Drosophila melanogaster: one gene and its partner. The protein of the gene in region 1 interacts with the protein of each later gene in a pairwise test. Each region holds a gene or a part of one and is shown in the gene's direction. Other genes may lie near its edges.

What was found. The genes of interacting proteins can lie anywhere in the genome.
Region 2: the proteins of Tsp86D (region 1) and Gbs-70E interact in a two-hybrid assay, tested with the Drosophila melanogaster proteins (one large-scale study listed by BioGRID).

What each region holds. Positions count from the first base shown.
Region 1 is NT_033777.3:10,866,952-10,871,055, forward strand, and holds Tsp86D (tetraspanin 86D), read left to right. Parts: upstream 1-1,756; 5' UTR 1,757-2,081; coding exon 2,082-2,634; intron 2,635-2,691; coding exon 2,692-3,014; coding exon of another isoform or gene 3,015-3,089; 3' UTR 3,090-3,604; downstream 3,605-4,104. Other genes in the region: SelR (selenoprotein R), read right to left, coding at 1-25, 1,021-1,090; Fdh (formaldehyde dehydrogenase), read right to left, coding at 4,046-4,104.
Region 2 is NT_037436.4:14,547,966-14,552,533, reverse strand, and holds the start of Gbs-70E (glycogen binding subunit 70E), read left to right. Parts: upstream 1-1,558; 5' UTR 1,559-1,997; intron 1,998-2,374; 5' UTR 2,375-2,444; coding exon 2,445-2,536; intron 2,537-4,568.

The sequences.
Region 1 (4,104 bases):
GGATTGTCGCTGTCTTGGCGTGAATCTGGAATGCAATACAATACTTTGGTATTTGATTTGCGGTCGGGTCGGTTTGAGTGTGCTTTTCGGTTCGCCAGCAGTTGGGTAATGGAAACTGAGTAGGGGATTTCGTCAAGCTTCTGTAAGATTTCCCTCATAATCTGCCCACTTATCGGTGGGACTTTCAACGAAACCTTGGGCAATCTCAACTCGCTTATTTGAATGCGGCCATCTGACGATAAGAAGCTTACTACTATCAGCCATGAGTTGCTGAAAATACTTTCTCGAAACTCATAATCATCTTGTTTTCTCATACAAACGATACCATACCATTTATGAAAATGAATTATATGAAGAAAATTTTTGGCATTTTTGGAACCCAATTTGATAAGGAAATATATACATAAATATTCTTATTCCAATATTAAACAAAAGCTATATATAGCGTACAAAATATAGAAAATACTTATCATTTTCTTAAACAATTTGTTAACAATCTTGAAAACTCAAAATCAAAGTTGTGCATCCAGGGAATTAGTAACACCAATTTTGTATACAAACTTGCCTGCTAATTAATGAAGGTGTAAACAGATTTGTTAAGTGCGGCCAACAAATGGAGTGGAGAAACGCATTGGGCCAAAAATAGTTTTATGGCTTTTTATGCTGCTTGCCCGCCGTCAATCAAACGGAGTGGCGCCCAAAGCAAACGAAGGCGAAGGAAAAGCCGAAAAAAAAACCGAAAATCGAATAGCGTAGGTGGAGCAGTCACCTTTTATTTTCGGTTTTTCCGAGTGCAACAATAGAAAAGCCAGCCAAGTGTGTCGCGGGCAATTGAAGACAATGAATTCATTGCGAGCAAAGTCAGAAAATAGCGGCTAAATTGCGTTCATATAGAATGCAAATGTATAAAAAAATCAACTCAAATTGTGTCTAAAATTAGCCGATGGCCAATCGATGAGCATGGGCTGACACGCCCACAGGTATTACAAACTATACCTGCGACTTTTTAGTGCAACTCACCTGCGAAAAAGCGTGGAATGGCGAATATTCGAGTGCGCCGCAGTGCGTGGCGAGCAGAAAGTGCAAACATTATGTGGCTAATTTCAGGTGACAACTGCACTTGGCACTGCCTGGTTATTTAATCAGCACAGCAACAGGGGGAAAATGAGCAGAGCAAGGAGGAAAAGTCAATGTTTTGTCCACTGCGCACTGCCCACGCGTACTAACTAATATTTATGCAATTCGCGTTGCCACTTCCGTCTACCACATTTCCCACATTTTCCGTTCTATTTTCGTGCGCTTTTCTGCTTTTGAACGCTTGGCGAGGAGAAAGCGCAGTGCAGAGAAAGTCGCAACTCAATTAGGGAAAATGCGCTCGCAATTGTGCTTCAATGTCACCAGCGGAGAACCGAAAAGAAAAAACACTTAATTTTCCCACACTTAAATGGTGCGTCCTTGGGTTTTCTCTAAGCTGGAAAACTACTCACCTGCTGAATAGCGCTCTAAATGGTGCTGATTCTATTTTTGGCCTTTTGTTTATGAATGCGCCAAACGCGGGCGAAAACAAGCGTGCGTCGCAATGTTACGCAGCGGTGGAAAATTAAAAACTAATACAAAAAAAGCTGCTTGGGAAAACAGCTGCACGCGATGAAAATCAAACACCTGGCTGGCTCGCGTTGCCAATCGAATGCTGGATGATAGGCAACAAAGGCAGTACGGTCACGCGAACAGCTGACTGGCCGCGCTGCCAACTGCTGCCTAATTGGACAGCACGTCTGGCAACGCCGGGCACTTTGTTATTTTTAGTGGCTCCATAAATTTGCTTATCAGTCATAAAATTTAAGCTAGTGCGTTAATTCATCATATTCGCTGCGGGGAAACACCAGAGTTAGACAGTCCACCACTGACGCACTGCGAAACTATAGCAAAACAGCCGTGCAGGCCGCTGAAGAGACCACACGCAAAGAGGGCGTCAACAAAAAGAAAAAACCGTGGGGGAGGAAACCTGGGCAAAAATACCAGGAAAAGTAATACTCATCGAAATACTCGGCTGAAAACACGACTTGCACATTCGCGTGGCCATGAGCAATCACAGATACCATCAGGGGGGCAACTACATGCACCCGCGGATCTCCACCTATCCGCACCACTTCAGCTACGTTTCCTCTTGCGTCAAGTACATGATCTTCCTGCTAAACTTCCTCTTCTGGCTCTTCGGCGGCCTGCTCCTGGCCATCGGCGTGTACGCCTTCATGGACAAACTGATGGACGGCAATGGCTGGCTGCGCTTGGACACCATCTACGATGTGATCTTCAACATCTCCCTGGTGATGATCATCGCCGGAGTCATCGTCTTCACGGTCAGCTTCGCCGGCTGTTTGGGTGCGCTGCGCGAGAACACCTGGCTGCTAAAGCTGTACTCCATGTGCCTGCTTCTCTTCTTCATACTGGAGATGTCGCTGGCCATCATCTGCTTCGTTTTCCCGCAGTACATGAACTCGTTCCTCGAGTACCAGTTCACGGACAAAATCATCCACTCGTACCGTGACGACTCCGACTTGCAAAACTTCATCGACTTTGCCCAGCAGGAGTTTAACTGCTGCGGCCTGAGCAACGCCGGCTACCAGGATTGGAGTGAGTATTTGATTCATAAGCCACAAACGAATTAATTCCATGTCCGTATGCATACAGGCAAGAACGAGTACTTCAACTGCTCATCGCCGTCGGTGGAGAGATGTGGAGTGCCCTACAGCTGCTGTATTAATGCCACCGATATCAGCTCCGGCCTAGTGAACATCATGTGTGGCTATGGCGTGCAGGTGCGTTCAGTGGCCGCCGCCAGCAAGCGCATCTGGACCAGCGGCTGCATCGAGATCGTGCGAGTATGGGTCGAGAGGAATCTGTATGTGATTGCCGGCGTTGCCCTGGGCATAGCCTTGCTGCAGTTGTTCGTCATCTATTTGGCCAAGACCCTGGAGGGACAGATCGACCTGCAGAAGTCGCGCTGGTCGTGAGTGCAATGCCACCATCCGTATCTCTACGGATATCCGCCATGCGAAGACGACCCGTATTACAATTCGCGGATGTGAGGCGGACTTTTTTGGTCCTGCCCGTGCTCAAATAATTTCAAACCGAATCCCACTCCTAGAATAATCCATAGCTCCCTATATACCATCTCTTGTGTTTTCGATAGATTTAAGTTCTAATGTCCCGCGATAATAGTATTTCAATAGTATTCTCATACTCTCCTAGGCTTAGGAAAAAGTATTTATACTCCTTTGTGTTCGTTTGCTCTGTATGTTTTTTAAACGTCAGCGCATTCTTAGTCACAAGTAAAGTCGAACACATCTAAAGTTTTACTCTTATACGTATGCAATATCAGACTATTTAAAAGACACTTGTGTATAAGCTAGCGAGTTCCATAAGAAATATGCATTTAAAATGAGATTTATATGTAACGACGAAACCAAAACTGCATGCATGTTTGTTAAATTGAAAAACATACTAGATACATAGACTTATTATCATTTTTAAGTATCTGTACGCGTGTTTGTCTGCAAACGTTGTTGTAGTGCGTATTTAAATACAGGCATTCTATACGTGTAATCGTGACTTTTTCATATGGTGAAAACAGCACAAAGTACCTGTCTTATCGCTCCACTTGGTTATTCCAATCTTGTTCTTACGATTGACCTTTAATCTACAACTTTCGGGGCCTTAGGGGATGTCCGGCAGTGAGTTTAGTTTGGGTCATCAGATAACTCTATCAATCTATAACAATGTTGCGAAATTCTTGAAATATACATACGTATTAAGTAACCGCAATCTCGAACAATTCCAAGTTGTTGAACTTCGAGATTTAGTGGGGCAGTGCAGATAAGCAAATCCAAGCAATTATGAGGAGTAAGCGCGAGAGGGACAGTAATCCGACCCCCAATGAAGATACTCTTATGTACATATACACTGGGAGTTTATTATTTTAAGCAATCGCATGCGATTGCCAACTTGTATAAAAAGTGAAAAGCAAAGAATTGTTATCTCATGCTTAGTACTTAATAATGGATCGGATACTCTCGCCCTTGTGCATCAGATCGAATGCCTCGT
Region 2 (4,568 bases), on another chromosome or scaffold:
CACCGAGCACGCACACCAAAAATAGAGCATAGATAAAACTCAAATACATATACAGTCTCTATATAAAGGAGGCCCAACCACAATTTCGAGTTCCGAATAGTCGAGCCTGAGACTGCATTTTTGAGCAGACTTGGTTGCATTCAGCGGTTTCCGCTTGTCTGGGACAGTTTTGATGTGGGTACGACAGATATCATGTGGGTCGAAACTGGCCTGAACTCTACATGCATAGATTGGAAAAGAAAAAGCGACGAGGAAAATCAATTTCAATGCTTCATTAGTTGAGTATTTGAAATTTTGAGCCTCTTACGCAGGTTTAGGTGTTGATTTCTATTTTAATAATGGCCTTACGCGCGAGTTTTATGGGATTGATGAGGAATTTTAAGCTATAATCACTAATGACTTGGACTATTTTTAATACGAATGCATTTATAATCAGCTGATAACTTATCAAAGCAGATAAAGTACTTTTTGAGACATAGACTTAGGTTTTATAGTATTTATTATTTATAAAAAATTTCAATTAATATAGTTGCATATTTTCCTTTTTTATTACCAAAATCGATTAAATTCGAAGAGCTTTTTATAAGTTCAGCAATGAAAATAGACTAAAAGTGTCTCATTCACGAGACCCTAATGGAAGGCCTAATTGATTTACATATGTCAGGGGAGCACCCTCACATAAAAGAAATGCGTGGGCAGACACATAAAACCAAAACCCACTCACAAATGAGTCGAGTGGTGAATAATGTCCCATATTCAATTGAGTGCGGAAGAGGCCCTTATAAATCTGTGTGTGAAATATCTTTTATAATAAAAAACAATTTAACTAATAATACCAATTCTAGTTCGTAAGGCTATAAATATTGAACTGAACAGACCAGAGGCTATAACCTATCGACTTCGATAAGATAAATATTTAAAAAGCTGAGACGGAAAAAGTGTTTGCCAAACTCCTTGAAATTCACTTGAGCGCCACGAGGCTCAGTGGGAAATTTGATTTTGGGAGATGGGATGCTTCCCGTGCATGTGATCATGTCTCGAGGGGCTGACACCCGTTTTGACTTTTGTCACCGCCAGTGGCGCCAAAACTAATCAAAGCAACTAGGACCGACGCTAAATCGAAACCACAACTACAATCACTGCGGAATACCAAAATGCAATCAAAATATGCAAGCCACGTCGATCAGGAGAGAGAGAGAGAGTGAGAGAGAGACCGGGGCTATTCTAGAAACCTAACGCGAGTTCAGAACGCTGAATTATGTATACCCTTTAAAGTACTAACAGAGCAGAAAACTTAACTGTTTTATGTGGTCGTTCATTAGTAGTAAAAATGGGATGATTTTATTTTATTCTGCTTTACTGTTATTTCTGTTTTCTGTTTTTATATACTGGCCTCTTGAATATATAACATTCTGATAACATTACAAACGCTCCACTAACATGTCTATATGTCTTGGAAGGGAATTCAAACAACCAATCTCTCTCTTTTTCTTTTTCTCTCTCTCTCTTTTTCTGTCGCCCCGATCAAGTCTTAACGGCAAGTTGCAGCAACAAACATTTTCATTCGTTTTCGCATCGTCGAAGCGTACGGTTCATAGGAGGAACGGAACGAAGCGGGGAACGCGACGGAAACTAGTTGCTGTTTTTTTGTCCGTGTTAAATAATTGACACAAGAAAATTTAGCTACACTTAAGCAAAGTCCGCGAAAAATCTATTAAAAATCGTTCGTCGTTTTGTGTGTGTGACCACGAAAAAAGTGCCCCGATCGGAGGATTTTAATAAATTCAATTAAGGTTCCGTCCCAACGATCGTTTTTCATTGTCTGACGCTCACGCGTGATGTACAAATGAAAAAGTAAAAATTTAAATAAGATCAAAGAAAGAAAGATCACAGTAAAATTTAAAGTGGATTGACTGCACAAGAAAAAGAAAAGTTCCTTACCTCCTAGCCAGAAGTCAAAAGTGAAGCGGAAAACAGAGTGGAGATAACAATTAACGGTTAGTTGTAAAGCTAAAACTACACAATAAACATATCATGAAAAACTTTATAAAACATAAGAAGGGGGGCATTTTATTATTTTGGGTATCAGCATTTACATCACCTTGTTTCGAATCAAACTGATTTTAACATGCATTTGGACCAAACTAACAACGTTTCGAATGTTATCTCTTATGGAAATGGTATTGCTATATTATACCATCATTAATTCCGATTCCACCTGAGATTAGCAATTAATATGAAATTTCATAAACATATATTATATATTCGGATCATGCATTCTATTTACACATTACTTTCCAATTAAACGTTCATTTATTGCCGCGCTTCGATTAGCAACAAAAACAAATCGTTAATTTTCTATATTTTTCCACAGGGGCTTCCATACCAAAGTTCCTTGTTTGTAGAGATCATTGTAATCAGCGCAGATCGAAGCCATATATAAAATGATTTCGCACAGTCCGCCCATATTCAGTCACAGTCCACCCGTTAGTTTTCTGGCGGACTTCATGAGCGGACATCCCCGTCAATCGTTGAAGTAAGTTTACAAAAGTATATAACTCATAAATAAATATAGCCAGCAATTGGACTAATTTAACACAGAATTGCTCTAAGTGAATCCACGAGTTTCGGCAGCCAATCAAAACAAATTAAATAGCCAAACATCATTGAAAGAGTACCAATTCTCAGGTTTTTTCATGTCGAAAGAAAATATTTTTTTAACTTTCTTATCGATTGATAAGGAACTAGAAGCATTTTCTGATGCATCATCTTTTATGAATTTAACAAGTGGTGTACGTGTTAATAAGAGAAACGATATAAATGTCTGATAACCTGAAAAACCATGTGATAGTAAATGAATTAAACTGAGAGATAAAAAATACATAACAGATAAAAATGATTAATACCCTTTTGCATTAGGCGTTCTCTCTGGCGAATATTTAAACAATAATTTTAAACATTCAAATTTAAAACAAATTTCAAAATACCCAAACATAACCCACATTAACAAAATAAACAGACCGGAATGCCGTAATTCCATTTAATGAATATAAGAACTCAGTTGTTTACACAATCCAGAAAAGGAATATTATCGATCTCTCGAGGGCTGCCCATATTGATTCACATGAAACACCTGTTTCAAGTGTCGTCTATGGAAATTTTAACACCTGATCAAAGGCAGGAAACATGTCTTACCCAATACATAGTATTAAAACCTGAGAACTATTCGAAAACACAATGAATGCAGGTACTAAAAATATTCGTGCTAAGGCTCGTTTTTGGTTGACAACAACAGATTGGCAAAATATGAAAAGCAAGCATTCAAGATCAAGGCAAGACAGAATACTGAACCAAAACAAACATTTCGCCGATTCTGAGGTGATCTTTCGCTGGTGGAGCCAACTGAGATTTGAAGATTCGTTCACGAGTCGTGGGGGTGACGCCAAAAATTTGCTTGGCGACAATTTGCGCGTGGCGCTTGACGCAACTTTTTTTCTCAGGGGCACACGAGCAAGCCGAAAATTTGACAAATTGGTAAAGGGAAGAAGGGTAATATCTATATATTATATTTATACAGAGGCGAGAGCAATTGATTGAATTAAAGCAATTTGCCGTGCTTCATTTGCTGCACGCGCTGCATTTTCATCATATTTGTTGAGAGTATTTTATTTTTGGGAATGATAAATATACAATACCGAAAATTCGTATAACTTATATTCGTATATATGAGGACTTCAGCTAAAAATAAATCTATATCTAGAGTATGGCCAAGCAAAACAAACGCTACAAGAACCGGTAAAAAACTAAATAATCAGTTAAGATTAAAGAGGTTCAGTAGATAAAACTGTGGGAGGTAATACATGCGAAAGCCCTACTGCGATCCCTACAACTATGAACATTTCTTATCGGGGCACGTGAGCGGCATGCCTTCAAACAAACCGAGTACTCCAACCAACTCAAGTAACTCAGCTGCTAATGCGTCAACTCACTTGAAATTTCACAGCGTGATTTTACAACAGTTTACCCCACCCAATACCTAGAACTACCCACGTAACTGGGCGGGTCGTCATCGAAAATGATTGAATTCTTTTGGTTGCCAACTCAAGCACTAAATATGCTGATATTGTCTCCAGACAGCGCCAATTAGCCAAAAAAAGTTGATGATAACAGCAGAGCAGACGGAAATGTTCCCATAGCCAGGCCCACGCCGAAAAAGACGTATCAGCATGCCGTCAACATATGTTTAGCATGCAAAAGTCCACGCGAACCCCATTGAACGATCCTTATCAACCATTGACTTTTAGTTTTATGAATGTCTAGCCGAAAAATTATGATAACTACAAATGGGATGTGAACTGTGCCAAATGAGTAAGACCAGCGAGTCTCTCCGACTATACAATTTTAGAAATGACTCACTGAAGAACCCAAACAAATATGCTTCATATTCATACTATACATTTCCCACCCACGGCAAACCCGAATTAAGTGAGGAGGTCGCGCGCAACTCCTCTTATCAGCGATGTTTCTTTATAGACAATATACACGTATCAGTAGGACTACACAAGTAC